Lytechinus pictus: one gene and its partners. The protein of the gene in region 2 binds, or shares a complex with, the protein of the main gene of each other region. Links are inferred from orthologs where the notes say so. Each region holds a gene or a part of one and is shown on either strand. Other genes may lie near its edges. The genes, in order: eukaryotic translation initiation factor 3 subunit L-like, eukaryotic translation initiation factor 3 subunit C-like, eukaryotic translation initiation factor 3 subunit I-like and eukaryotic translation initiation factor 3 subunit B-like.

Region 1 (7,852 bases), on a different chromosome or scaffold from region 2:
TGCCATGGCCAGCGCACCTGGTACTAATGCACTGCGTATACGGTACTAGCATAGACCGGCCTTAGCTAGCTTAAAATTCATGACATGCCGTTGCCAATTTCAAGATATTATTTGTATTATTGTATTATTTCCTTTTTTAAACGTAATAGTACTCACCTAAAATTTCAACACCTCGCACGTGCCGATGATACTCTCAAACCCTGGTCTTTGCTTATTTATTTCGTGAACAATTACATCAAAATTAATTTTTTTTTAAATATATGGACATCAAAAAAAGAATCTTGTAAATAATTAACGTGGTGAACTTTGGAATATGTACTAATTAAACTAATATAAAAAAAAGAACTGGTGAATATTGTTCCTTTGATTGGAAATCTCTTGAAAATTAGGGTAAGAGGTGCCTTCTTGTTGAGATCCATGGTGAGAAAGGCAGGACAAGCTGGGTCTTGTTTTTATTGTCAATTAAAGTTTGAAAGTTCATTTATTAATGGGGGTGACTTGAACACATCGGTAGAGCTAAATAATAAAAATAGCTTTTTAGTTGAACAGTTTCATTGTATTATTAGCAATTTAATCCCAGATCTTTTTCTCCCTCCCCCCCCCCCCCATCTCTCTCACGCTCTCTCATCCTCTCTGAATTTTATTTCTTCAAATAGAATGTTGAAGCCCATCGATCAAGCTTTGAATTCCTGCGTCAATCAGGGGAATTCCCTAGGTCTCTTGACGGGCTTGGGGTCGAACATGTGCCATTTGATCTCTCGCATGCGGTCTTTCCATTCAAGTTGTGGAAAATTCCATTCATAAATAATTTAGACTAATATCCAGTCTTTAATTTTTTTCATTCGTTTGATTTTCCTCACTTTACATGGCAGCGACTGTATTTCTCTAAATATTTTTTCAAAAAGGACTGTTTTTTAGACTAGACGTAAAAGTCAAGTGTCGCGCCACGCTACTGATTCATCAATATTCATGAGGAATCGTAACCACGTGATAAAAAAGATCGTCGGAAACGTGAATATTCAACAGCACTGGATGACGTCATTTTTAGTTTTTTGCTTGGGAAACCAAAACCCTGATAGGTATTGGCATGAAACCAACAGGAATAACACTAGAATACGATTTTCTAACGACCATATAATGTGCAGCTCAAAAAATGCACGGGATCATAGTTTTTTTTGTTTTTTCATCATTATTTCTGGATTGAGGGGGCGGGGCTATGTACATTTGACATCAGAATCTCTATCAAAAGTTCTTTTGCTGAAGTTAGCCCACATTTTTCTTAGACCTACCAGTTGCCAATCATAAGCAATTAAATGATCAAAATGTGAAAAAACACGGTCACTTCTGCATTGGTCTCGCCGTGGGTTAGAGAGAAAACTCTGGAGGAATTGGGGTATAAAATCCACTGAAATCTTCGGCATCGGCGACTTTTTAGACAACGAAGGATTATAGTCAGGATCAGTATAGTATTTGTGAGTATGACTGGTGTTGTTTTAATCATTTATATATTATGATTTATATTTTTAAAGATTATTTATTTATTGGTGCAAACTTCATCCGTGAATTTGTGTCCAACAACGAGAGCGCTGCGGCTTGCTGCGGCGCCGGTTCGCACGATCCCAGATTCTCATCGTTAACCACTCTAGGCGACACCCCAATACTTACCCGTGCTAATAAACTGGGACTCCACTCACGCGCGTTTGGGCCTCCCTAGCTTAGAACTAAGCACTAATATCACCTTAAAAACTAAATCTACAAGGTATGTATAATCTATTTATAAATTTAATAATGTTTAATCGGTACTCACCGGTTCTTTTGTTGCATTTTCAGACCATTTCTCACAATTCTTCGTAAATATTTGCGGCAAATTTTGTCGCCATAGACAGCTTAGCGTCCATCTTTATTGATAAATGGAGCGCCCTTTACGATAGTTGTTAATGCCGCGGAGAAATCGTTAGGCATTTTGGCCTGTGTTCAAGGCGTTCTTTCTGTTTTATTTTTATATTGAAGATTGTGCATTTGTTGAATAGCGCCATCTACGTCAGGTATGAGATCGAGTGTATAAATACACTCTTCCAAAATAATTATGATTCCGACCTGGCGCTGTTTAACTTCAATCTCTTTCACCTAAATTAGCGATGAATGCTAGCATTATAAAATATATATTATTAACGTCTGACGAAAAGAATAACCAACCGATCAGCTGACGAGAACGCGAATCACGTGATCTTCATATCAGCTTCGATCGCGAGTCAGAAGAGAGGAGCAGTTGCCCAGAAAATCAGGAAAAAGCCGTGAAAATGTAAGTTCCCCTTCATTTCTTTCAATTTTTTTTATTGCTAACAATGTATTCAATTAGTGAGATCGAAATGTAATGATTAGACAGTACGATAGCTTGGAGTTTTGATAAAATACAAAAATAATCATCTTCACAAAGATTTCTGACACAAAATACTACTGATGTCGCCTATGAGGTCCATACATGTAATGTTGGACCTCATTGGTACTAGGAGTGTCGTTAACCCTATTTCTATTTTTTTTTTAAGTGAGAGAAAAGAAATGTTTACATTTCGGAAACGAAGAATCATCGGGAAATCAAGGAGTACCAAAAGGTAAAAAGTTAATGTCCCCTGGGGGCATCAAGTACAATTGTTCTTATCACATCAAACTTAGATTGATTGCAAGATCTTTCTTTTCAATTAAATAAATACATCACACAAAATATCACACGTGGGACTACAATAAAAAAGAGGGTAAGCAGAGTAACTAAGTTAGTATACATATGGCGATATGTGGTTAAATATATTCACGATACACTCACCTTCGGATCATTGTAATCTTTTCCTTGATTATACATGATTGATATAATAATATACTTCAAATATAAGGACTTCGTTGGAAGGATTTACAGGCGTTTTCATTCACCAACTCCGGATTCCAAGGCAGCTCTTATCACACATGGAACAGATCTTCGTGCGTGCGCATGCGCGTATGTAGGCACATGCTCTAGATCTAGCTCTCGGACGTCACGTACACTGAAAGTTATACAGACTCAAATTTGACACCGTAACAAACATTACCGCATCCCTCTAGTATTATATATGGAGAATAAACTCCAAACCCAAGCCAAAAAAGATGAGTGAATCCAGTCTCCTACTTCATACTCGATACTACTAGTACTCTACACTGTGCAAAAAAGAAGGGTCTATGGATCTGTAGACTACACATCCACGAAAAAGGGGGGCAGGTACGTGCCCCAAATGATCCCAAAATATTTTTCCAAATTTTCTTTTTTATTTAAAATCCTTGTTTTACGTTTACTTGGTCACATCCTACACATTTTTTTAAAATATTTTTTTAATAATTTTTTTTAGGGGGTGAGTCTTCAAACATGCATTGTACGTATTGCCGTACCTCAAGAAGTGTGTAGCCATGTGCGTGGGCCTATCATTCTTCAAAATTACCTCATATAACACCAAATGAAAATTTAAAAAATGAAATGTGAAACCAATATGAATGAATGCGTAAATTCAGAGAATGAATTAATACATGGAATTCATTAGTTTATGATCATTCATTATTTAATCAACTATTGACTGATATATACAGCCCCACTTTTGGCTCAGCCCCCCCCCCCCCCCCACTCTCAAAATCATTCCACTGCCCCTGACAAGGCCTTACGTATTAAATATAGGCCTGTCGATCACCACCTACTGAATTTGTTTTTTATCATTATTATTATTTTATTTGGCATTTCAAAAAAAAAAAAAAAACAGATCAGAGACAAGATCAATCAAAATTTTACACTGATAGAGAAAATAAGACCTGGATGAGAGTTGGAGAGGCTGCCTGGGTATGGAAAAGGCTTACTTGATAGCCATAACCCACAGGTCTTCCTTCCCAAGTCTGACCCATTCCCCTGGGGCAGTAATCTAAATATAGCCCAGGTAGTATATTGTTTTATGTCCTCATGAAAGAAAAATATAATTTGAAGTAAAACTTTTGAAAAAAAAAACCGTCATTTTAGCCATTTTATGTATTGGAGTACATGGAAGAGTAGTCCTTGCCTTACATCACTGTGACATCACGTATGCGGCCAATTTGAAGTCTCCATGGATAAAGTGATTACTAATATTTACAACTTTTAAAAATTCATAGCTTTCTTATGTTTGTCCTATATTGTTCAAACTTTCACCTATCATCTTGTCTGATTTTGCTTTTTCCCCTAAAAACAAGTTTTTATTTGTGTTGGATTTCACTTTAATTCAATTTTATTTAATTTCGGTTTAAACGTACCCTCTTCAGATTTCAAAAGCAACCTTGTTGCCATGTATACTATAGAAAGTTGATTAAAATATAACAAAGTTTACATTGAAAGAAATAATTATGAGCAACAATTTGAGTCAGTAAAAATAATATGCAAGGTTAAAAAGGTTATAAATCATAAGTAATGCATGTCAGTTGATGTATTGATTATTTCTAGCAAAATGCGCTTATTTTACTAATACATAACCTTTATTTTATTCTATTTGATTTTCAGTTCGGGGGCAGTCAAAATATGATAACAAACAAGGAAGTTGATGATTTTTTTTAATATAAGATTATTTTGTAAAAGTAGATGCACGCCGTCATGAATATGCAATATGTGGACTGGCGGTGTCGTGTTTCCACTTTCGCTTTTCCTATGTATGGAAGCATGGTATGGAACCGGTGTGTTGGCTCAGTTGGTAGAGCGTCCGTCTCACAACTGGTGGGTTGGGGGTTCAAATCCCTGCCGCGTCAGACCAAAAGACCAATTTTTTGCTTGTGAAACTTTTTTTTTGGACAAACAAGTATCCCCTCTTTAAAACTCGTTCCAACGCCCCTGCTTCCCCCTTCCTTTTCTTTCCCCTCTCTGCCTCTCCTTTTATGGGGGATGGGGGTCACCGCTTGTAATTTCAATTTCTTTGTGAAAAATAGGTGAAAAGCAATAATCTTTGTGTCCCTTTTACTCATTGAACAATGCAAACTCATTCTATTCGATACACAGGTGTTCATGAATGGAACTCACAGTGCAACAATCTAAAGTCATGTTCAACACTCTCTCGTTTCAGACTATTACTGAAACATCAATTTTTCGAAATAAACTATCATCCTTGGCTGAGAAGACTCCTTTTTTTTTCTTCTTCATTTTATCCACTTTTCTCGCTCTCACTCTTACTATTATTCCTCTCTTATCTAATTTTTCTTTCTCACTTTCCTTATTCTTATGTTGCAATGTGTGTTTGCAGGTGTATGTGGTTTTTTATAGGTATGGTGTGCAGGCCTTTAGCTAATACTTATGTTTTAAAAAAAAGTTAATTTAATGTTATTTTTTGTATTTTATTGTAATTCTTAATTGTCATTCAGGGCCTCAAATATAAGCACAGGATGGTTTTTCAGAGGTCCTGGCTCATTATTATGTATTTGTTTACTTTGTAACTTCTTGATTGTTTTAATTTGCCAAATGAAATTGAGCTTTACTTAAAAAAAAAATAATCATAAATTGTTTTTAAAAAGTTTCCCTTTTTCCTTCTTCCCTTTTTTTTCTTTTTCTTTTTTTCCTTTCGGGGAAATAATTACAATATAATAATGTAAATGTTATTATCATCATCATCATCATCATCATCATCATCATCACCAGCATCATCATTATTATTTCTTTCTTATTCTCTCCTCTCGCCCTTTTCATTCTTTTCCATTTCCATTTTTTTCCTCCCTCCCTTTCACTTCTTTTTCTTCTCTCATTCCCCTCCCTTTACCCCTCTCCCCTTCTCTTTCTTTCCTCTTTCCCATCGTTTCCTCACCTTTCATCCCCCCCTTTCCCTTTTATTTTCCTTCTCCCTTTCATTTCTCCTTTTTTTTTTGGTGGGAGGGGGATCCGTGACAGGCTAAAGGTGTAACAGTTTGTAATTCAAGACCCATTAATGTAAATCTTCCTGTTATTTCTTTATTCTATCTTTCTTTTGTTTCAATTCTGTTCTCTCTATCTCCCTTGTTCACATTCTCTTTCACACGCCTCTAGACTATTCATATGGTATTATGCGTCTCCAAGAACTGATTAATATTATTTTATTATTATTCTCTTTCGTTCCCGATACCTCTCCCCCACTCTCTCCGCTTGCTTTGTTTTATCTTTATCACCCATGCTACTCTCTCCATCTTCCCGTCTTTCTTTCTCTCTCTCTCCTACCCCCTCTTTATTTTTATTGATCTTTATGATTCATATCACCCATTCTACTCTCTCTCTACCCCCCCCCTCTCTCTCTCCCTCTCCCTCTCTCTTTTTCTCTCTCTCACACACCCTGTATTTTTTTTATCTTTATATCACAACCCTTCTGTAAATCACATTTTAGGAAGCTTTCAGTGTGCTTCATAAGACCTCGGATTTAACACTGTATCAAAAATTATTTGAGTCTCATGCATGTTTAATCTTAAAACTACAAAATAAAGAAAACAAATGAACATGCAACTCACATAATAAGATTAATGTATTGAATATATTTATTATTTGCTTTTTACCTCATCATATTTATTTGTTAAGAGTAAACTGATTTACATAACTGTTGAAAATGCTTACTTTACAATGATAAAAGGCAAATTATTTTCAAAATACACATATGTTATAAACCAATTTCTAAGACACATTAAATGGTTGTTTGTACAACAAAAAATGGCAGTTTAAGAACAATGATAGCATGCATGTTATCTCTTACAATGTTAAGTTCGAAAAATAACTTTGTAAAGAATAAGTGAAAAGTTTGTTTCCTGAAACGATGCTGAAGATACAACTATAATAAAATGAAAAATTGATAATTGTTATTAATTCACTTCTTTTTAAAGAAAAAAATACTACATTCTGATATAATCTTTGAATCGTTTTCTACAATTCAAACCATGCATCTGCTTAAAGATTGTTTTAAGAAAGGAAGAAAGCATGGTTGTGTACACTACTTTAGCAATCCTTCTTGTCTGGAAAACTAAATAATATATTTGTTTCTAACTACATGTATAAATACTGCAAAAGCTCACACTCAAAATGCAGTAATATCAAGACATGTGAAATTTAAATTCGTCATAACAGAGGGCCGAATCTACAAAGGGTTATAGAAAATGAATTTTATCTCTGCCTATATAGGCTACTCTGTAGATAACTAAGCAATATAATTACAAATCAAACTGAAACTTTAGCTTAATGATATTTTAAATAATCAGCAATAAGATGTGACTCTCTCTCCATGTAAGACAAGAATACATGTGTAGATTGGATTTAGATTTAAACCTTATGGATTAAAATATAAAGCTAAAACATTTGAATTTAAATCTTTTGAGATTTGAATTTAAATCTTTTGAGAATTGAATTTAAATCTTTTGAGATTTGAAGGTTAACCCTTCAGATTAAAAATAAATCCAATATTTGACTGGTCAATATTCACATCCAATCTGGATTAATTTCAAATCCTTGAAATTAAGAGTGTACCCCAAAGTTTGTTCAACTTTGGTTCCATTTGGAGGGGAATAGAGCGCGGAATTCTGTGTGACATTTGGCATTCTCATGCTCTGCAATTACATTTTACCTTGTCAGTTTAAATCATTTCTATTTCGCAGCAATCACGCGCCTCTAAATATCAAACACACATGATAGCTTATTAGACATGTCACTAACAATACTAAAAGATGAAATTTGATGCACAAAAAATATTGAAATGCACAATCACATGCTATTCCTCTAATTACGAACCTCTAAACTTGTTTCACGCTTTGATCAATGTTAATAAATGAAAGTGGCCTTTTGGATGATGAAAAAGCACGAGAAGTGATAAGTACTGGCTGA
Region 2 (7,842 bases):
TGGAAAGAAAGAAAGAAAGAAAGAAAGAAAGAAAGAAAGAAAGAAAGAAAGAAAGAAAGAAAGAAAGAAAGAAAGAAAGAAAGAAAGAAAGAAAGAAAGAAAGAAAGAAAGAAAGAAAGAAAGAAAGAAAGAAAGAAAGAAAGAAAGAAAGAAAGAAAGAAAGAAAGAAAGAAAGAAAGAAAGAAAGAAAGAAGACAGAAAGAAGGAAAGAAAAAGGAGAAAAAGAGAGGAGAAAAAAAGAAGAGGTAAAATAAGAGGAAGAAGACGAGTGAATGAAATAAGGTGAGCCGGGGAAGACATTTTTCATGATGTCACTATTATACAAAATTTTCGCTAACGCTTCGTGCTCGCATTTTCTTTTCTTCTATGAGATACTTTATCTTGCTTACTAGATTAAGGATCATGGAGCTTAAAATATCATGTTTTGAAGTCTATATATATAAACATTTCTCTGTATGACATCGAGCTTTCGTTATTTTGTTTGATTTACAAATTGATTTTTTTAAAGTGTTCCAAAATTTCCGTTTTATGGTCAGCTCGCGCTCCGCGCTATATAGCTTCTGATTTGTCAATTACTTATTATCTTCTTGTATTCCATAAAGTTCTCAAAATATCCCTTTTTAGGTTTGATTGCCTATTAAAACGTATTTTGATTGGTGAGTTATTTATACCATATTAATTCTAATAAATCGACCTTTCGTGACATTTTATCCCTTAATTTCGGCTTGCGATTTGCGCTCGCATTATTTTTGTCAAAAATATATTAACCCTTGCATCCTTTTCATAATTTTTTTACAAAAGTGCTTAAAATGTCAAATTTTATGGCCTTAATATCAACAAATTTCGCGTTCTAATTAGACTTATTAGATTAGTAAATAAGATAATAAAATTTTCATGACGTTCCTAATAATCAATAATTTGTCCCTTTTTTAGAATGGAATACCGTCAAGGTTCATCTTGCTCTTAGAAAGAGGAATAGAAAGATAGTCATTATTTTCATATGATGACAAATATCCTTACAATGCCTGGTCCTAGGTCAAAATAATGATAAAAAATTATTAGCTCTCGCTTCGCGCTCGTGTCATTCATCCGATTCATATCCAATTCAGAATTTTCCTACACAGTGCTTGAAATAGTGCATGAATTCACCCTTTTCCAGATCGAAATATCAAATATTTTCAGCTCGCGCTTCGCGCTCGCCTTATTGATTTTCATAAACAAAATAATGTAGGCCTATTTAGAATCTAAATCTAAACACGCGCGCATGTTTATTGAGATTTCGACTTGCCCTTTATTTAAAACGTGCATAAAAATCCAGTTTGAGATCAGAATATCTAAAAATTTCTGCTCGCACTTCGCGCTCAAATTATTAATGTAGGAAGATGTAACATTGCGTTGGTTTCAATATAAAGTTGTGCAACGTATTATATATTATTTACAAAGTATTTGCTTTTCAAATCGAAATTAGTTTCAGTAAACAAAATGTATACCTTCTGTCGAAAAGAAATCGAAACAGTTTTGCATCTGTACTCGGAGTGCGGGCATGTTAATCACATTTGGAAAAAGTTAGAGGACTGGATTAGGACCAAAACCAGTGAGATTCTTCATTTTTCAGTTAAAAATAAAATATTCGGATTTATTGGAAAAAAACAACTGTGCACTTATTATTTGATTGTGGAAATATGTATCGTCTTCATTGGAAACTGCAAATAGTCCTTAACATGCCCCTTTTGTTCAGGATCACAAACATTGCTCAAAATGTTCAATATTGAGGACAAAATAAATGAAACTTCAAAAAATCTTAGCTCGCGCTTCGCGCTCGCATTATTTGATTGTTGAAATATGTATTGTATTCATGGGTAACTGCAAACAGTCCCAGAGCGGATATTAAAAATTTCTCGCGCTTCGCGCTCGCAGTAATTATTTAATACATACGCATCTTTTTCAGGATCAGAAACATATTGCTCAAAATGTTTAATTTTCATGATAAAATACATATAATTTCCAAAAATCTTAGCCAGCGCTTCGCACTCGCACTATTTAATTATATATATATGTTATGTTTTAATGAATAAAGCTATAAGAAGTATATATATATATATATATATATATATATATATGTATGTGGGTGTGTGCGTGTGTAAGAACAATGGAAAACTCAATTGTGACCCCCTCCCCCACCTTTGAGGAGAGATGTTCAGCACCCCAGTCAAAAAATCGTTCCCAGGGACCTGTTATAACCCCACCTATAATCATATTAGGCCTAATATATAGGCCCGAGCGTGCATGGATTTGGAGGGACGTCATAAAGGCGGCCAAGCTCAAAGTTGATTTTTGTTTGTTTCTTTGAAGGGGTAGCCCCAAGCCCCCAACAGTCACTTCTTAGCTATATTTGTGCAAGCGCGAATTTTTGTAAATTTCATGTATTTTATCCTGATAATTCAACATTTTTATGGGCATGTTTGTCATCCTGAACAAGATGCGTATAAAATAATGTAACTAGATAATTACTTCGAGGGCCCATGCGCGAGCAGAAATTTTTAATCTACGTTCCGGCCTGCATGATCGAAAAGGGACCTGCTATACTGTTTTCAGATAGCCATGAAGACAATTTTTTTTCGACAATCAAATAATTTCACAAAGCAGCTATCCTGGTCGGTATCCGGGGTTGGTATGCAAATGAGCAGAGTGATGATGTCACCCACTCACTATTTCTTTTATATTTTTTTTTCGGAAACATGAAAAAAAAATCTAATTTTCTCCCCATTGTCAGTGAAACAAAACTTTTATTCCTCCCTGAACACGTGGAATTGCCAGTATTTTAACAGTTTATGGTTAAGTCAAGTCAGGATCCATATTGTCGAATCTGTAAAAATTGAAATATTGTATTTAAACCATAAAAAACAAAAGAAATCGTGAGTGAGGGACATCATTAATTGACTCTCATTTGCAAGTCACGGAGTTGTGCATAACGTGCATGTTTTGTGACTACGAAACTTATAGAAGACTTCCTTTAAGCGCGAGATAAAACTTGTCGATACTTTCCTTTCTAAAAAAAAAGGGACAGTACAGTAAAAATTCATCATTTTTTAATGAAAATGTTAATATTTTATCTAGGCTAATAAGCCTATATAATGAGAGCGCGAAATGTGCTGAGGCATGAAAACTGGACATTATGTTTTGTGATTATGAATAGGATGCATGGGTTATCGCGAGATTGATAAAATGGGCTCGATGTCCGAGCTGAAACTTGTATATTGACTTCAAAACTTGATATTTTAAGCCTTCTGAGCAAGATAATCTCATTGAACATGCAATGCGAACCCGAAGCGTGAGCGAAAATTTTATGTAATGCAAAAAAAAAAGATTTGAAAAATCATTCCCCTCGATCACAATATGTTTATTAACTCATCTTCTTCATCCTCTCTTTTCCCTCTTCTTTTATTTTCGTCTCTCTCCCCTTCTTTTTTCCCTTTCTTTCTTTCCTCTGTTTTCTTTCTTTTTTTCTCCGCCAATACAGTGCGTATAAAAAGGGACAGTTTTGAACAGTCTATAAATAATTTGTTTCAAATTATGATATCTATATTTTGATGTTAATAATGCTCTGAAATCTTATCTTTGAAATTCAATAAAAAAATAAAAAAAATAATGTTTATGCTCGGGCAAACACGGGACGTTTTTGTCGGGGGTTCAAAAAGAGGCTTGCGCCAGAATGGCAGAATATGAGTAATATGATGATCAGACTTCTTGCTAATCAGCAGACTTCCTCTAACCTTTTCATTATCTGTGCCATAATTTTAAAATTATGCTGTCAAATTTTATTTACAAATTTATTTATTTACTTGAATTATTATTTTTTTTTTCATTTAAACTTCTTTTACCTTTGAATTTTCCTTCATAAGTAAGAAAAGAAGACTTTTTGTCAACCCAAGCAAGAAAATTTGCATTATTAATTGGGAAAACTTGTATAATTATTCAAATCCTTTTATTATGTGAAACAAATTATGTATATGGTACCTTTAAAGACATGAATCAATTTTTCAAGGGTTTATTGATTCCCGTTTGACCAAGTTTAATTATATGCTTGACAGGACAAACAGGAAGGGATTCATGTCTTTCAATAGCAATGGTGTGTTGAGTCAATTTTGAAGGAGCTAGATATGGCAGATCGGGTAAAAATTAAAAAGTTGTAAGCGAGCGAAGCGAGCACGCAAATATTCCCACTTTTTTATTACAATATCAAATTTTGTGATATAGATTTTGACATAATATTCAGAAAATGATATCATATTTTACTTTCTGTCTTTCCTTTTATTTCCTTTCCACTTTTTTCTTGGTCATGATTTTTTTTTAATTGAGGGGGGGGGGGGGAGCATCCCCGAGCCCCCGCCCATAAAAAAGTGGCACTGTTCAAAAGGCACCATAACCTTTGTAGCACACAATGAAAGGATTTGAAAAAAATACACGCTCTCCCATACTTCGGTTGAAAAAAAAATTGTTTTTGCTTGAAGATCGAAGGAATATTCAACTCTAAAAGAGAACATATTAAAAAGAAACAACAACAAAACAATTCATAATTTGAAAGTTATGGCAAAGATAATGAAAAGATTAAAATGAAGTCTGCTGATTAGCAAGAAGTCCGATCGTCATATTTATCATTTTATGCAATTTTGGCGCAAGCCTCCTTTTTAACCCCAGACAAAAACATTTCGTGTTTGCTCAAGCATGAACGAAACTAAAAAAAATTAATGGCATTTAAAAGATAAAACTTCAGAGCACCTATGAGTGCTGAGTTTATTTTGGCCGAGTCACAACTTTTCGCCCATGCATTTCACATTGTGCACGTGTAGCCCACTTCCTAGAATGCGATGGCTAGCGTATAGCTATGCTAGCTAGATGCGAGCGCGAGCGCGAGCGACCGCGAGCGTTCGCGCGCGCCTTCATATATGGCGGATTATGATTCCGAGATTGCTCACGCAGGTTAGGTAAGAAAGTTAACATATTGCACATTGTTGAACCAAATTCGCATTAAGCACTGCATTTGTTGAATGAATGTGAAAAATGTTGACTAGTTATCTTTGAATATCATGTGTGATAGTTTTAAAACTTATGTGTCGTTCATTATAAATCCTGCAAAGAGGAGCTATGTCGCAGACCTTTTCGTTCTGTCGATCATGCGCCCATTCATTGCGAAGATACCTGGCACAACAGCGTAAATTGCGATATTGTTCATGTTCAAACTGTTCACATCTATCACGAGAGTGTGATAGTTCCCGTTCACTTGTGCACGTAAGAAATCGCACGTGCCGAAAACGGGCGATTTGTGCATGATGGACCTTAGGGTCGCCATTTAGGCGCTAATGCAGTTTCGCATCAGCCGACTTCGAGAGAATTTCCCCACCAGTAACTTCGAAAATAGCAAGTCTCTCAATCAATTCATCAGTTATTTTTAATTTTACAAACTGGCTCAAAGGCAAGTCAAACCTCGGCTGGTCTCCAAAAGATGGCTGTCAAATGTATTGCCGTAGACTACGCCGGTAGACATGCGTGACCCAATAAACGCAAATAAAGGGGTGTTTTTCAGTTTTGGACGCGGGCCGCGCGTGCACTCGTTAAGGGTATTAAAAACACATATTTTCAGAAAAAGGGGTAGTTTTGAAAGACTGGTCAATGGTTAATCGCAGGGTCAAACATTAATAATTTAACCTTTTAGGGTATTTTTTTTTCCAAAGCTCTTTTTTTTAATTACTAAAATACTAGCCAAACATGTCTAGGGTATGTTTTTTTTTCCCGGGGTCATATTCTGGCAACAACTTGTTTGGTTTGGGGGCCAAAATTTGTAAAGAAATCCCGCGAAAAACTTGTTTACACAGTGGCAAATTGTCCATAGACTGTGTACAATGGATAGACCGTCTCGGCTCAGCGAGTCGGAGACTGCTGATTGGCCAATCGCGCAGATCACGTCATGACTACGTGGTCACCAAAATAATCCCTTCGGACTGCGTGCGAAAGTATCAATAGTGCTAACGATATCCGGTCACATTGTCTACGCGGGAAATGGTCTTGGTTCGTGATTAGATCGCTCCAGTATCGATCAAAAATTATCGAGACTCGGCAATTTCATGCATATTCACGCGACGCTCCGAAACCCGGAGATCATTTGACTTTGTACACATTGAGATAGACTCTACAAACTTCAACGAACACGATGCCATATCGACGCTAATTCGTAAGATTTTGACGGAAAATCAAGAATTAATCGAAATTCGCTTACCTGTGCGGTATCAGTGATAAAATAGTTCCTCCAAGAATACCTTTCATAATTCATATAAAATATAGGAAAGTGAAATTCTAGGTCGATTTTGGTATGATAGAGAATTGCACACTTGTTTTGGTGGAATACTGTGTGGGGCAATGGAAGGCTTGCAGTGCGCATGCTTACTATATTTTCATTCATAAATTGGCTCTCGGCAGTGGCTGGATGACGTCATGTAATAAGCAACATGTACACGCCCGCTAGCGTTAAACGCACCGCTATCCGTTCTATACAATTTGCCACTGTGTTTTAGGGGGATATTTTGCACACAGAGAAAAACTCGTTTAGGGGGTGTTTGCAAATAATTTGGCCACGCGTGTGTACAGCAATACATTTGACTGGCCCCCCAGGGTCGGGTCTTTGACCTGTGCGCGCCATTCCAGAGACTTTATACAGGGCGCGACAAACCCGCTTGCCCGGGGCAAGTGGAAATGATGTGCTTGCAAGCATTTCCCTAAGTCAATTGCCCGATCGGGCAAGTGGTTTTGGAAATAAAATAAAATATCAGCAGACCCTATATAGGACAGCTGGAGATCGTGATTTCGCCTCTGAAAAGTTAAGCATAAACAGCACTCCCAGAACCACGTTTACAATCGGCGTTTTGAATCGACGTTTGAAAACGCTGATTCTGTCCTCGCAATGGAAGCATAAACACACCGTAAGTGACTATTGCTGGTCTGTAGACACCGAGAGGCAAATAATTTTTTGTATAACTTTATGCCCAATTCCAAGGGATTTCCCAGGTATCATATTTTAAGGTCAACATGGTCAATATGCGATTACGCCCACTGCTTTTCCGAATATTGCATATCGGGAACAGCTGTATTTCGACTTTAATTGGGAGGTCTCCGTTCAAATTCTCAGACATCATTTTCCTTGGATTTTCCGTAATTTTGATATGGACTGCAGTTAGCGACCAATATGTGAACATGCGGCAAACAATGGGTGAGCTGCTGGCAGACAGATATTTTGGTCGCTAACTTCAGTCCATATCAAAACTACCATGAAGTCTGAAGCCAAGCATTGCCAAAGTGAAGCGATGAGAATTTGACAGTGATCTTATCTGCTTAGGTCAACCAATAGAAGCATCTCTTCTGTAAAAACATTTAGTGCATTATTGACATGATGCATAATTTCCCATGCGCCTCTGACGCTTATGCTTGTGCACTACAGTGCTTAAAATACATGTGGCTGCTCTCCCAGGCATATTTTCTTTGAAATGATCCATCATCTCAAATGAGATCTATTGCCGAAAAGTCATCAAATCCAACTCTGTAATATCTCTTGGATCCGAATGCCTTCTTTTGTCAAAGAAGTTTTTGCTGGATACAGCTAGAATTTATTGTTGACTGAGAAAAATCGCATGCTTCATTAAGTTACAATTGAATAGCCACTACCTCTTGTAAATTTTATTTTCCAAGGAAGTTAACATTAAGAAAAGGTTTGAGAATTTTCAGACTATCTTTCATCTCGATACGTTATCATGTCCACAAAGAAATTTATGCGCTGTTTTTAGATAAAAGCAT
Region 3 (6,904 bases), on a different chromosome or scaffold from region 2:
GTGGGCCGGGTTGGCCAAAGAGTACAGTATAAAAATCGTACGATCGGTAGCTAGGCCAGGGGGACAAAGATGAAAGATGGGCGTGGTCGCTCTTCAAGAGTTTATTAACCACAATGGTTAATAAACTCTTGGACCGTTGTATAGGTCCATGATAAACTCTTCAACTGAATGATATTATTGATAATATAAACTGTTTGGAAAACAAGATCATCTCAAATGGAATCAGAGCCCTTCTGGGCATTGTACGTGGCTCTTCTTTTCTCCTTTTTCATTGCTAAAGGTGGAGTGAGTGGATAAATGCATAAGTTTCTGAAATTCAGATGGATCAGGCAGGTCAAAGATTGTTGTTTTTCAAAATGATGCAGTAACCGTCACAGGTTATGTTCGACCGATAAAAATAGTCAATATCAACCAAAATTCTGGTAAATTCTAACTTATGGTTGATTTTGACCATTTTTGTCGGTTGGACACATAATCATCAACACAAATTATTTTGACATTTTATTAAAGGGATGGTCCGGGCTGAAAATATTTATATCTAAATAAATAGAGTAAAATTCACAGAGCAAAATGCTGAAAACTTCATCAAAATCGGATATCAAATAAAAAAAAGTGAAGTTTATCAACATTTTGTGAAAACAGTTATATGCACACTATCATGAATATTCATTAGGTGGGCTGATGATGGCATCCCCACATTCATTTTTATAATGTTATTACATGAAATCATAAATGTTTCATTTTTTTATACATGTGTAAATGATGTGTCTCCATTATGATGAAATAAGTTGCGGCGATGAATAACTAATGCACTTATAATCCGTTGTCAATCCAATTGTTTTATTTCTTGGTAGAATTTCTTTTAAAATAAACCTTATTTCATATAATAAAATAAAAAGAACAAGTGGTCAAATTTTCAGCATTTTGCTTTGTGAATTTTACTCTTTTTATTGGGATAAAAATACCTCCAGCCTGGACCATCCCTTTAAGAGTCAAGAATCCCTATGACAGTCTGATTTTCAAGTAGTGAAAAGGCCGAAAATGCACACTCATGAAATTTTGTTCTGATTCACCTTGCAATTTACGCTTTATTCTCATTTCGAACATAGACCGTGCAAAAATAAAATTGTGCAAAATGAACTGTCACAAACAAAAATATTATTTGATTGCTTTCACTGATTGTTAACAGATGTGCGACAGTAGCTTCATGATGATGATTATGATAATAATAATGAAATAAGTTTGGAGCTGACCCATGATGATCCAGCCAACCTAAAGAGGAGATCAGGGGGGCGTTTCATGAAAGGACTTGTCGGACGTTTTATCCGACAAGTCCCATTTTATCCGACAGTCAGACCTGCCGACAGTTACCATAGTAACAGTACCTCTCAGCCAATCAGAATCAAGGAAAGATGTCAGATCTGACAACTTGTCGGATGAAAATATTGATGAAACGCTCCCCAGGGCCCTGGGAGCGATTTTTTAAATTGGGGTGCTGATGTAAATTTGAAGAGCAAAAAAAAAGGTTTTCACTACAAAATGGAAGTGATATTATTGGTCCCAAAAAATAAAAAAGAATAAACAAGAGTTATCAATACAAAATGGAAGTCATTATTGGTCCCTACAAATTTGAAAAGGAGGGGGGGGGTTCACTACCGGTATACCAAATAAAGGCCCCTCGATCGGGTTATATTTATCCAATTTTTTTCTCACTCCTTCCAGAATTTCAGGAGGTGCTGTTTCACTGTAAAATAATACATGCAGCACCCCAAACAGGCGCAGCGGACGCATTTTTGTTGGGGGGGGGGGGGGGGGCAAAGAAAAAAAAGGGCACTTATATATCAAAATGGGTATTTGGTTGCAAACGAATATTTTTAACATGAGATTATCATCTGCGTTAAGAAGTTTTGTGTTTTGTATTAAGTTGAGCAAAGCCTTTTTGAAGTGATTTCTGATAGATGAAATATATTTAGGCTTTGTTTTTCAGCGAGCGAGCGGTTTGGAAAATTTTTCCATTCTAAAAGCTGCTGTGAAACTCGCCTTTTGGTCAATTATCGCGCAAATTATTAGCTGTTAAAAGTGCATCCTTGCGAGATGTTGCGAGCGCGAATCGCCATGCTCAAACTTTTGGACAAATATCCTGAAAATTAAACATACCGAGCAGTTTTTGTTATCATGAAAAAAATGTGTATCTAACTAGAAAATTCGCGCGAGCTGAAATTTTTATACTGACCAGAAAAAGACACTGGTAAGGATTGCATTATAGTGACTGATGAAGATGATTTTATATCTCATCAATCAAATGACGCGAGCGCGAAGCGCTAGCTGTAAATTTGTGATATTCCAACCTGAAAACTGGATAAGCACTTTTTGTAACCAAGAACATAGGCCTAATGAGTACTTTACCAAATAATGATTGATGCGAGAATGAAGTGCGAGCTGAAAATTTGTGATATTCCAACCTAAAAACTGGACATTTTATTACAGCACTTTTGCAACTATAACAGGATGAGTACCTTACTAAACAATAATCGATGCGAGCGTGAAGCGCGAGCCAAACAAATTGTAATTTTCTAAGGCCTAAAATGTATTGTTTAACCTTAAAAAAAAAAATTATTCTGTAAAAGGGCACATATATCATTAAAAAAGGGTATACTTTCCATTTAAAAAAAGGGCATTTTTCCTACTGGGAATTTTTGGGGAAAGTGCCTCCCTGCCCCAAGGAAAATCTTGGGGGTGCAGGCAGCACCCCAGGGGAGCGTTTCATCAACATTTTTGTCCGACATGCATGTTGTCAGATCTGACATCTTTCCTTGATTTTGATTGGCTGATAAGCAATGTTACTATGGTAACTGTCGGATAAAATAGGACTTGTCGGATAAAACGTCTGACAAGTCCTTTCATGAAACGCTCCCCCGTTCCCAGGGCCATGGAGGAGGCAGAATATGGAGATGTGAGGCTAATTAAGCCTGCGTTCAGAAGCATTATTTCGTTACATCCCCCCCCCCCATTTTTACACATCTTCAAGAATACCTGGGGTGCTGCATCCCCTTTAACCTTTCTTTCCTAGAGCTCCCATTTCTCTTCTTTCACTTCCCTTTCTTTTCCCTCAGCTCCCTTCCTTTTTTTCTGATCTCTTTTTCCCGTCCTGGTTAATGTCCCCACTATACCTCTCCCCCTTTTTTGAAGATTTTCAGGGGGGAGGGTGGCATATGTGCCGTGTACCCTCGATCATAGATCTGCCACGTACCGTTACCAGCAAGGATTGCTTATTAGCTGACAGTGCAACGCATAATATGTAGATCGCGGGAACGATTTTCTAAGAGGGGGTATATACTGTTTTTTTTTGTTTAACAAAAATTTGACAAGCCCACCCCACACAAAAAAATAGTCTCCACTTCCAAAATATTGCAGGTCGGTGATTAAAAAAAAATCACAAACCCCCCAAAAACAAACAATTAAAAATCCTCCCCCCAAAATAAGCAAAGAAACAAAATAATAGCAAAGGCCTTCATTCCAGATTAAAAAAATAATGGCAAGCAGGCAAAAAAAAGAAGAAGATAATAATAAGCTGAAATTATTCAGTCCCGAATGAAGGCGTTTTTTTTGTCAAACCATTATGTAGGAATATGCTACCCGGGTATGCGACTATCGCACATGTATTAATTTGGTAAACAAAGCCGAATGATTTTAATGATAGAATACCAACCAAAAAATTGGGGAGGGGTGCTTCAGTCCTCCTCTCCCCACCTCCCCTCCGGTCCCCTCCGCACACGCTTCCCATGCATGCCCATAGATATACTAATAACTAATAGCGTAATTAGTATACATCTCTTTGTGCATGCCATACAATGTCGGAAACCCCTTTTTTATCATTGAAAATTGACAACGTCTGATCGTAGACTAATTTAGATCCCGCGCATGTGTTGCAAAATTCTACCGGCTGGTATCATAATTTCGTGAAAGATTGTACTGATTCTCTAATTCGTCACTGATATAATTTTTTAAAATGGTAAAGTATGAATGTTCATATTACGTAGTATTCTATGTATGATTTTTTGAGAAAAATATTAAACTTAACTATGAATTAAAGGACTGTTAAAAAGTAGTAAAAAAGCTCATGACACAGAAATAGATACGTGGGAACGCACGTCAATTCAATGCATTGTGACTGACGTGACTGTCATTTTGTGAATGTGTGATTTCTAGTTCGGTCATCGGTGTTGCCTGTGTTTGTGTGTTGGTGTTGAGATGAGAGTGTAAAAAGGCCACTGACCGAGCTGCAACACCAATGAAGCTGGGTTCAAAAGAACGATACCGATTGCATTATCGATAGCTCATGTGACGATTGACGTCGTGCCTCTGCGCTGCACTGCTAAATCTTTATCATGCGTGAAGTTTATCATTACGAAAGTTAAATCGGAGCTAGACTCTAGAGAAATGGATTAAATTCTCATCGTACAGAATACCGGCAATGGCAATGCCAAGACCAGAGTGGGGGGGGGGGGGGGGTAGTCTTGAGGACTCCATGATGATGTCTTTTTTAAATACTTTGACATATTATAGGCCTACTTCTTCATCATTGGATTGGAGTCTTGAACCCCAGTTCATATATGTATAAGAGACATGTAAACAAAGATGGATTTCCTAGGGAAATCCATCTTTTAATATAAAAATCACGTAAATTGTTGTGATTTTATTAATCTCTACACCTTCCTACGCCTAATGCGTAGGAAGGTTTAAAAAAATGGTCAATTAAAATGTTAGAAAAAGGTTTCTTACCAGACCGATCTCGTGTAGATCCCTCGATCCACATGTACACAACGCAAATACAATAGGGTCGACCCTTGAACCGCTTATGTATAGTAGTAGTAGTATTTATTTCCGTATTAAAAGCACAATTATATACAATAAAATACGGTGGATAGCCCACATTCAGCGTGACTGGCACAGTAGCGCTGGTCTTCCGTGGGGTCCATAACATTTAACATTAACGTATAATTTAGACACAAATAAACCACATTAGAATAACAGATGTACAGAAGAAAAATGAAAATGTAAATATCAACAGTAAACATTAATAAGAAAAAAAAAAAAAAAAAAAAAAAAAAAATTAAGGGGCGCAAACCTAACAGGGAATGGGGGGGGGGGTACCGGAGTCCATGTGCTACAGATCAACAATCTTAGATTTGAAAATATTAATACTAGGGGATGATTTGATGTGAAGAGGAAGGGAATTATAAGCCATGGCGCTTTTATACTTGAAGGATCTTTTGAGGTAATTTGTTCTTGGTTTTGGTAATTTAAATTTGGTTCCGAAACGGGAGGGATACGTATGTGATACTAACTCAAATTCATTTCTTAAATATTTTGGAGATAGATTTTTCATGATCTTATACATGAGAATAAGGGAATGATCGTTTCTTCTTTTGTCCAACAATTGCCAATTTAGTGTATCATGCATTTCCAAAATAGATATATGAGATTCGGGTTTAATTTGGAGTATAATACGACCTGCTCTGTTTTGCAGTTTTTGAAGGCGGTCTGTGTATTTCCTAAAGGATGCATCGTAAACAACATCACCATAATCAAAGTAGGGGAGGATCAATGAACTATATATTAATTTCAGGATCGATTCACTTAAGGATCGCCGCAATCTTCCCAGAAAGCCGACTAATTGACCTATTTTTTGCAACATGTTGTCTATATGCAAGTTAAAATTCAAATAATCATCAACTATGATGCCTAGGTATTTGACATGATGAACTTGTTCTAATGGGGTATTATTTAAGGAAACATGAAGGACATTTTGTTTAGAAATCATATTCTTGCTTCCGATGAGCATACAGACCGTTTTTTGACAGTTAACACTTAACTTATTCTGGCACATCCATTGGTACATATTTTCTAAATCTGAGTTTAGGGCCTCGTTGATTCTATCTATGGAGGGGTGTGAAAAATACAAAACGGTGTCATCCGCATACAATTGGATATGACATGTATTAATACATTTCACTAGATCATTGACATATAATATAAAGAGCAGTGGCCCCAGGAGTGATCCCTGGGGCACATGGCAGTTAATAACTGATTCATAAGAGAGTTCCGAATTGATAAGAGTCCTACAAACCCGGTTTAACATGTAACTTCGAAACCATAAGGATGGTGTGCCAGAAATACCTAAGTTATTCATTTTTTTCAAAAGAATATCACAATTCACGGTGTCGAATGCTTTTTTTAAATCGACGAAGACGGCCCCAATGTAATGTTTAAGATCGATTGAGTGAAACCAGTCATTGGTTACCTTTAGGAGAGTGGTAATGGTTGAGTGCCTTGGCCGAAAACCGGATTGGGCAGGTGTCAGAATATCATTATTTCGCAAAAAATCTAAAACTTGCCGTTGGACAACCCTTTCCAGTATTTTAGATACGCAGGGCAAAATTGAGATGGGCCTATAATTCGAAGGAGAATTTTTATCGCCACCTTTGTGAATTGGGATAATCTTAGCTTGTTTCCATTGTTGCGGAAATATACCGCTTGACAAAGATAAATTAATCAACTTAGCAATACTCATTGATATCTCCATAGAGCATGCCTTCAAGACAAAGACAGATATCTTATCAACACCGACAGACTTAGTGTTTTTAAGATTTCTTATGATTTTCAAAACATCATGTTCGTTCACCTGAGTGAATGCAAAAGTCTCATTTGTATAATTACCATCTTCTGTATGGAGGTTCATATCGGGTATTTCACTGGCTAATTGTCTCCCTACATTTGCAAAGTAAGTGTTGAATAGGTTAGCAGTTTCAGTATTACAATCCGAATTAGACGAAACTGTGAGATTTTCACGTTTTTTATTCGGAATAATGGACTTTAAGGTTTTCCAAGTCTGTTTTGGGTT
Region 4 (7,962 bases), on a different chromosome or scaffold from region 2:
ACTTGTGAAACTGAACTAGAACCATGAACGCTAATCACGATCACGAATTCAAATTCTACTCCGGAGGTGAATTCCATTAAGTTTCACTCAAATTACGGTACAAATTTTTCGTCTGAAAGGGTTGACCTCCCGACGTCTTTTGAGGGGCCGAGCTTACGTGACCTTTCAAGCACTTCCGTAGATAATACAATTGTCATGCACTCATCGTTTCGTTTTTGCAATGCAGTGCTTTGATTGGGTTTGATTGACAAGTCACCAAGGACACAGTACCGCCTTCGCTCAGGAATTCGAATTCAGATCAGTTTTCAAGCAAACGTGTGAATGGTACAATGATTCTAAAGACAAATTGCAATCATCATTACAATGATTATTCAAGATTCTCGTGTGAAAAGGCCCTAAGACTGCAAGAAAATTATTGAACATACAGGGTGCTACATAAGCACTTGCCCGATTGCCCGGGGCAAGTAAAAGTTAAAGTCGGGCAAATGTTTTGAAGTAAAGACCAAAACTACTTGCCCGAATTGGGCAAGCAAAAATTCTCACAGTAGAATGACCAAAATTAGGGTCATGGTGGAAAAGATAAAATCACTTTGGAAAAAGAAATGTAAGAACAAGGTACATCAGTTCATGTCAAAAGAGAGAAAAAAGGGTCAATGGTTTAACCGCAATATTTTCTTTTGAAGAGGCAAACTTTTTTTCAAGGATTTTTTCGGGCAAGTGAAATAGATTTCGGGCAAGTATATTCCAACTATTCAAAAAGTTATGTAGCACCCCGACATAGCTGTCAAAGACGGATAGCTGGACCAGGTGACGTGCACACATAATGGATAAGTTACCCACAAGGCACAAGGGTAAAGATGGGTCAGTACGTTTATTGCTAAAAGCCTGAGCTAGACTTACATGATCTTTGTATGGCTGCTTCTCGGGTGAGGTCCATTCATCCGGTAGATTCATAAACCTATCAATAGAAGGAACAATCAAATCAAATCATTAATCAAGCCTTTCTTAAATATGAACATGTATTTACAACAATTATGTACGAGGCAATTTTTCATGACATAATTCTTCACATTAATTTAAATCCGGGTTCCACACATCACAGCTGCCGCCGCCAAACTGAGCAAATTTCTGTGATCTGTGTGTCCAACGTTCTCATGGTCACATCTAGCAGTGCACCCTCCCTACATCTTATCTTAGTCTCTAGAACCTTGCCCCTAAAAAGCATGAACCACTTTTCCTTACACAAATAGCTAGAGCAAACATAGAAATCCCCCCCCCCCCCCAAAAGAAAAAAAAAAAACTTTCAAAGCTGCTCATCAATAACAAGTTGAAAACTACTATAATAAACTACTAAAATTGTGTCATCTAATAAATGAAAGCATGAAACAACACCCTTGTCCTTATCAAAATCAGGATTATGGCACAAGAAGATGACCCTATCAAATCACAATATAAAATGGCTACAAGAAGAGCAACTTACTTGTCAAAATCTGTGATCAAGTTAACAGCAAACGTATGCTGTTTATCAAGCTTGTACCCACTCAATTGCTTGGCAGCTTCGATGGCGTTTTCAGGTGATTTGTATTCGACGAAAACATACCTGTGGTGCAAAAATTAAAAAGGAATAAGAATTCTTAATTACGTAAAAAGGATCTCCGTTGATGCTTTGCAAAAGAACAGTAAAAACAAATCTTGGTAATAAACTTCGGGATTCTTGATCTCTCAAGATTCCTTGTACCAATACTAGAATATTTCAATTCTACAGAATTAGAAAGAAACCTAGAAAGAACTAGAAAGAAAAGGAGGAAGAACTCTCTCCTATCCTCCAACATCAGACTATTCTAGGAGCTGTATTTATCTCCATTCTTCTTTTTGTCAAAATATCAGCAAAAATTGAAATATTATTCATGTAACAGAAGGCAAAAGAATCAGTGGCGCTGCTTCTCTCATGAGCACATCACTGTGCTGTACATGTGTACATGTTTTGTGAAATCTTTCAAGATCCGATTTTTGATTAAATTAGTTTGATTCTTCTCTAACTATTCAAAATCAAGTTTTTTGTTGGGGGGGGGGGGGGGGAATGCCCTTTACAGTGAATGGGTGTCAGCTCTCATGGGGAATAGATTATTTGTTGATCCCAGATTATGTAAAAAGCAGTGGAAATACCTGTAATAGAGGGTAAGCTGTCGATTCGTCTATTGCCAATTCATCCACTCATCACATGGTCTACCTTTATTTAGTCTCATGCCATTCCATCCATCAACATTTCGTCTAACAACCATTTGGTCCATTAACCATTTGGTCCAATAATTACTTCGTCTAATCACCAGTTCGTCTATGACCATTACGTCTAATAACCAGTTACATGTAGTCTTATACCCATTTTCTTTTCATTCATTTCGCCCATTCAACACTTATCCAATTAGACCAAATGGTTTATGGACTAAATGGCTATTGGACCAACTGGTTATTTACCAAAAAGGTGAGTGGACGAAATGGCAATTGGACCATGTACTATAGTGGACGAATTGATGATAGATCAAATGATAGTAGATGAGTTGGTAATTAGAGGAATTGGCATTAGACCAATTGGAAATAAACATAACAGAGACATCTTTTGGGGAAAGCAAACTCTGTATACCAGCAAGAAGCCTCGGGCAACAGTGTCAGGCCAGGAAATCTGAGAAAATGACTACCATATAAGGCATTTTCCAGTGGCATTACATAACAAGTCATAAATCTCAATCTTCCATGGTTAACCAAGAGTGGTGTCAAATCCCCCTTGAAAGCCGACACCCCCACTAACTTCAAAGATTATTACCCTTTTGTCTTGCCATCCTCAGCATCAGGATAGTGCTCTGTGCTGATCTCTCCATACTTGCTACAAACTTTCCTGATGACGTTCTTCAGCTTTGGTAACCGATCTGCTCCAACCTGTGGTACATTGTCGATGACAATTACAGAATCGATGCCAAGAGCTTCCTTTGGTTTGGTTCGAAGTATATCACCGAGAAGTTCTGCAATGAGAGGTTTATACAAGGTTTATAATATTAAGAATGATCTGCAAGTTCGATTAAAAATAAGTTTATATAACTTACATTGAATGCACCATTTATTCTTCAGTAACTCAAATAGCTCTGCTATTTGAGCGTAACTAAGATCTTAGACCCAGCGAGTGTACAAGGTCATAAATGTGAAGACTCACAGGAAGATCAAACTTTTTGACAGCATTCCGTGAAGAAAGTCATATACATTACTGATTCATTTTGTCAAAAAAAATGTGGAACAACTTTTTTTATGTTACAACTCAACTTTATCATCTGCCGTGCCAGCCACATCCTCTGTGAGAAATGTTTTTCCTGATCTTGTTAAGGCTTTTTTTAGTGCTCAGTTAATATTGTTACATCATCAGTTATTTGCAATGTGCGATCTAGTCTTTTGCTGAGATTAAGAGGGTGAATTTCTAGAAGACTAGATTAGGTTTTGTACTGTTGTACCAAATATTTAACATACAAAAATAAAAGGTCATCAATAAAAAAAAAATGAAGGGCATTTGGTCACCACAGTCAGGGTCAGAGACATAGTCCAGACACCTGGGGCAGTTTTCTGAAAACCGTGTTAGCACAAAAACGGTGTCAGCTAACACGATTGGTATTCTAAAAATAGTGTTAGTATGAAAAACATGTGGCCCAAGTGGTAACACCGAGTAGGTCATGAAATACGCAGTGCGCAACGTGCAACCCCCATACGCGGTGTTAGGGAGGAACATAACATGAAATTTGGTATTCTGAAAATGGTGTTAGCTAAAATTTTGTTCAAAGATAAGTAGATAACACAAAAATTCAACACTGCGATAAGGAGGTTAAGTTAGGGAACACGATGGCTGCACTTTTCTAGCAGACGCAAACGTCAAAAAGAACATATCCGGGCATAAAGCTATCATCTGGCAGAATTTACTGTAATTTTCTTTCATTTAGGGATGCCAGTTGGAATTGATCAGAGGGCCTGAAAATCACCTAGAATACAATAATTTGTACACAAAAATGCTATAACTACGGCCTGAAAATAAATTGCCAGAGCCTGAATTTCAGGCTTTTGCCTGAAGACTGGCATCCCTGTTTCATTATTCCAGCTTTATTTTCCATCTCCCTTTTCTCTACTAACAATGATTAAAGTTTAACAAAAATTTCTTTGGAATTTCCTGTGAAAATACACTTCAAATGCATCTTTAATTTGGATTAATTCAAATCATTATCATATATGCTCATGAGTTATTTATTTGGTTACTTTTTGCCATAATATAAAAAAGACAAAAGGAGAGAAAGAAAATTAAAAACATCTAAAAAGGAGAGAAAGAAAATTAAAAACATCTTTAAAAAAGCATGAACGGAAATTAAAAAGAATGGAATTAGCGATTAGGGAACTCTTCTATAATATTCACAATTTTTTAAAACCCTTTTTCAATGGTTACATGTATATATAGTTCCATTGATACAATTTTTTAAACTCTCAATGCTTCTAGGTAATCCTTAATTCATCTATCCCGCCAGTCAATCTATATGCTTCGGATGTGGGAGGATGGGGAGGGGGGGGGGAAGGGGCTGATCGCTACACGCATCAAATTTTAATTCTGTCTCCTGTTATAATTTCGTACCCATGCTGTCTGAAATAATCCATTCTTAATTGTCACAATCACCCCTCCCCATGTCTCTTTCTCGCTCTAACTTTTTATTTAGCTGTAGATCTAGGCTCTATGCGTTTCCAAAATGATGTAACAATGCAGGCTTCATGTCATCGTGCGCACACTCCCCTTTTCCCTGAAAAGATTTTTTCTTTAACAGCGCATTTGATTGGCTTAAAAAGATGCAGATTGGGAGGAGCTGAAGCTAGATTAACACGAAATGAGATAACACGGTTTTCAGAATCCGGATTTGGGGGGTATTAGGGGCGTGTTAAATCAGAGATAACACGGTCAATATTTATACCAAAGTTAACACGTTAACACAGTTTTCAGAATACCGCCCCAGCAGTAACACAACTCCACCAGCGCATCCAGAAACTGAACTTGACGTCTTGACTCGAGACGAAAATAAATGGATGAACACAAAAATGAAGCCAGGCTTTTTTCATGTTTTTTTTTGGGGGGGTTCTTCTTATCTTATCAAAATATCAGCAACGTACTAGTACAGGTTAACACATGAACTGTAACATTAAAGCTTTCAACCGCTATTCCATACTAGTAGGGTGTCTGGACGTTTTTCAGAAATCACCTATTTTGTGAATTAAATCACTGTCACGTAGCAGAAAGTGAAGAGAATATCTGAAATAACATGTAAATCAAGTTTCATAACTCACAAGCATTTAAATCCAGAGATATTTGCTTCTAAAGTTTGGCACATTTTCAGATTAAAACGTAAGCGATATCACACCGATAGTGGCACATTTTGCTTGACCTAAAACACACACAGAGCTGCTGTACGCCGCATCGCATTGAAGGGGCCGGGGCGGAGTTGGAAGGGCGCGCAATACATTCATTACCGCTTTCGTTGTCAAGTTTGCCTTTCAAATACGCAACTTATCAACTGCTCATGAATAATGCGTTCGTAGACGGACACGTCTGGGTCACTGCTCTAGTTGAAAGGTCACATATACGTCACAATAGAGATTACGAGTACTTCGCCAAGCACAAGGTTGCATCTTATTTAGAGTGGAGATCAGTGGTTGCATCACAATGCATAAATCATCGGACTTGCATTCAAGTACATGTCGTATGTGCACACAATAATGGTGTGTGGATGTACCATGTGATTTACGTGCACCGTGCCGTACCGCGATATGCCATTGCTTTTGTGTACTACCAAGGAGCTTCTTGGTACTACCAGTACCAGGGATTCCCCGATGTGCGACGGCAACCCACGTGCAGCATGGAGTGATGAGTCATTAGTATGACGTACCAGAATGACATTGCAATACGTCATAATAATGTTCTTACCACCATAGGCGGCGGCGGGACAGGTTCCCCCCTAAATTTGAGGTGGGGGGGGGGGTGGTCCCCCTAAATTTTAGTTGATAATCTGTTTTATTTTATTTTTTTCTGCTTGTCAATTTTATTTCCTGCGTCCCCCCCCTAAAGTCAGCGTGGACCCCCCTAAAATGTTTCTGCCCCCCCCTAAAATTTTAGTTGATTGCCTTTTTTTTTTTGCTTGTCAATTTTGTTTAACCTGTTATCATCACAAAATTTCGGGTGGAACCCCCTAAATTTTTTGACTTCGCCGCCAATGCTTACCACACGCCAGATCAATTTCCTCATGTCAATTTAAGGTCTATACTTGACTTAATAAAATGTTTGAAAGGTGAACTCAGGGCTGAAAATGATTTCTGAATAAATAGGGTAAGATTCACCAAGCAAAGGCTGGAAATTTTTATGAAAATCTGATAAAAAGTAACTAAGTTATTGAATTTTAAAGATTATTGATGTTTTGTGAAGATAATTATATGCACGTCGTCATCAATATTCATTAGGCCGATTATGTCACATCCCTACTCTTTTTTCTTAAGATATCACATATAAGATGTGAGTATGGTATGTCTCCTTAACAAGCCTTGCAGCAAAGAGTATCAAATGTATTAAATCTGTTGTCAGTTTTTGTTTTCATTCTTGGAGGACAAATTGAACATAATTTTATAATATACGAAAAAATAAATTGGGATATTTCACGTGACACGATCACTTTGCTCATGATTGAATATTGATGAAGACAGTAAAGAGTTGTTTCACTGAAATCTTAAGCATGCTGTAACCTTGATATTAAGTGTCCAATTTTAATAATGTCGACTTTTGTTTCAAATAGTATTATTTTTCACATAGAGTTTCATTCCGATTTCATAACGATCATTGCTGATTTGATTTATACCCCCCCCCCTCACCCCACATACATACCCTAAGTCTTACGTTATTTATCATCATTGTCAACCACCATCGATCACGCACTATTGTCATATTTTTATTAGGGCAATTCCATAAAATATGTACGTTCGAACCTCTATATTTGGGATCTTCATGAAATTTTCGGTCTCTATGATTCTTGGTTCTTTTGACAGTCTGTAACGCTGTCAAATGACCATGACTTGGCCAGTTTATTAAGTGATGTAAGACTTTAGAAAAATGGGGGTCGAATGTACAGAAAGCTTGATCATTTTACGGAATTGCCCATTATCCAAACCATCATGCAATCAAAACCATGCACACCCACTCGTACATCATCACCCTGAGTTCATTTATCACAAAGGCCAATCATCATCGTGAATCCATTTCATCACTTAGGAAAAAAAAGAAATAGTCATTAAAACTTTTTCTCTGTTTGTATATGTCCATAAAACCATAAACATCAGAATCCACACTTCATTTCATGCAGGCAAATCATCACCATCAAAACACTTCATCATGGCGCATTATGTTTACCATCATTTTTAGATGCAATTAAACTTCAAGATGAAAATATAACTTTATTCTACTTTTCTTTATTTCAGATTTATTAGGAAACGATAGAGGGGTTTCGATCGTCGGACCTAAGAAATGAGAATCACCGAGAACTCAAAAATAAAACACATATATAGAGCTTGTATTTCTGTTTCCTTGTCAACTATTCAAGTCATCTTTATTCTAAAATCGAGTTGACATATATGATATATGCTGTTTCATTTCAAGATGCTTAACTCACACAAAATAACGGAATAATACCAAGTGAAATATTTTAAACCGTTCACAATTGTAAAATGTCCACAAGGTTTTTCTGAAGAACCTGTATATAATACTACTGAGAGTAACTGCCTCAATATCTTGTCAACTTTCAATTGGGGAAAACATTGAACACACGAACTACCATACGCATTATTCTTTGCATGAAAATTGCTGTATTATTTGGAAGTTCAGCTGAATATTAAGCACAATTTGGGACACGA

The links.
Region 1: eukaryotic translation initiation factor 3 subunit C-like (region 2) and eukaryotic translation initiation factor 3 subunit L-like share a complex: the UniProt entries of both Caenorhabditis elegans proteins name them as parts of the eukaryotic translation initiation factor 3 (eIF-3) complex. The link is inferred for Lytechinus pictus from reciprocal best matches to the Caenorhabditis elegans genes eif-3.C and eif-3.L.
Region 3: eukaryotic translation initiation factor 3 subunit C-like (region 2) and eukaryotic translation initiation factor 3 subunit I-like share a complex: the UniProt entries of both Caenorhabditis elegans proteins name them as parts of the eukaryotic translation initiation factor 3 (eIF-3) complex. The link is inferred for Lytechinus pictus from reciprocal best matches to the Caenorhabditis elegans genes eif-3.C and eif-3.I.
Region 4: eukaryotic translation initiation factor 3 subunit C-like (region 2) and eukaryotic translation initiation factor 3 subunit B-like share a complex: the UniProt entries of both Caenorhabditis elegans proteins name them as parts of the eukaryotic translation initiation factor 3 (eIF-3) complex. The link is inferred for Lytechinus pictus from reciprocal best matches to the Caenorhabditis elegans genes eif-3.C and eif-3.B.

What each region holds. Positions count from the first base shown.
Region 1 is NC_087254.1:6,009,120-6,016,971, forward strand, and holds the start of eukaryotic translation initiation factor 3 subunit L-like, read right to left. Parts: upstream 3,022-7,852; 5' UTR 2,858-3,021; coding exon 2,822-2,857; intron 1-2,821. UniProt on the Caenorhabditis elegans protein: Component of the eukaryotic translation initiation factor 3 (eIF-3) complex, which is involved in protein synthesis of a specialized repertoire of mRNAs and, together with other initiation factors, stimulates binding of mRNA and methionyl-tRNAi to the 40S ribosome.
Region 2 is NC_087246.1:16,950,611-16,958,452, forward strand, and holds the start of eukaryotic translation initiation factor 3 subunit C-like, read left to right. Parts: upstream 1-4,826; 5' UTR 4,827-4,985; intron 4,986-7,842. UniProt on the Caenorhabditis elegans protein: Component of the eukaryotic translation initiation factor 3 (eIF-3) complex, which is involved in protein synthesis of a specialized repertoire of mRNAs and, together with other initiation factors, stimulates binding of mRNA and methionyl-tRNAi to the 40S ribosome.
Region 3 is NC_087261.1:4,539,965-4,546,868, forward strand, and holds the start of eukaryotic translation initiation factor 3 subunit I-like, read left to right. Parts: upstream 1-3,894; 5' UTR 3,895-4,009; coding exon 4,010-4,012; intron 4,013-6,904. UniProt on the Caenorhabditis elegans protein: Component of the eukaryotic translation initiation factor 3 (eIF-3) complex, which is involved in protein synthesis of a specialized repertoire of mRNAs and, together with other initiation factors, stimulates binding of mRNA and methionyl-tRNAi to the 40S ribosome.
Region 4 is NC_087254.1:11,012,928-11,020,889, forward strand, and holds the start of eukaryotic translation initiation factor 3 subunit B-like, read right to left. Parts: upstream 3,018-7,962; 5' UTR 2,822-3,017; intron 1,601-2,821; 5' UTR 1,481-1,600; intron 959-1,480; 5' UTR 955-958; coding exon 901-954; intron 1-900. UniProt on the Caenorhabditis elegans protein: RNA-binding component of the eukaryotic translation initiation factor 3 (eIF-3) complex, which is involved in protein synthesis of a specialized repertoire of mRNAs and, together with other initiation factors, stimulates binding of mRNA and methionyl-tRNAi to the 40S ribosome.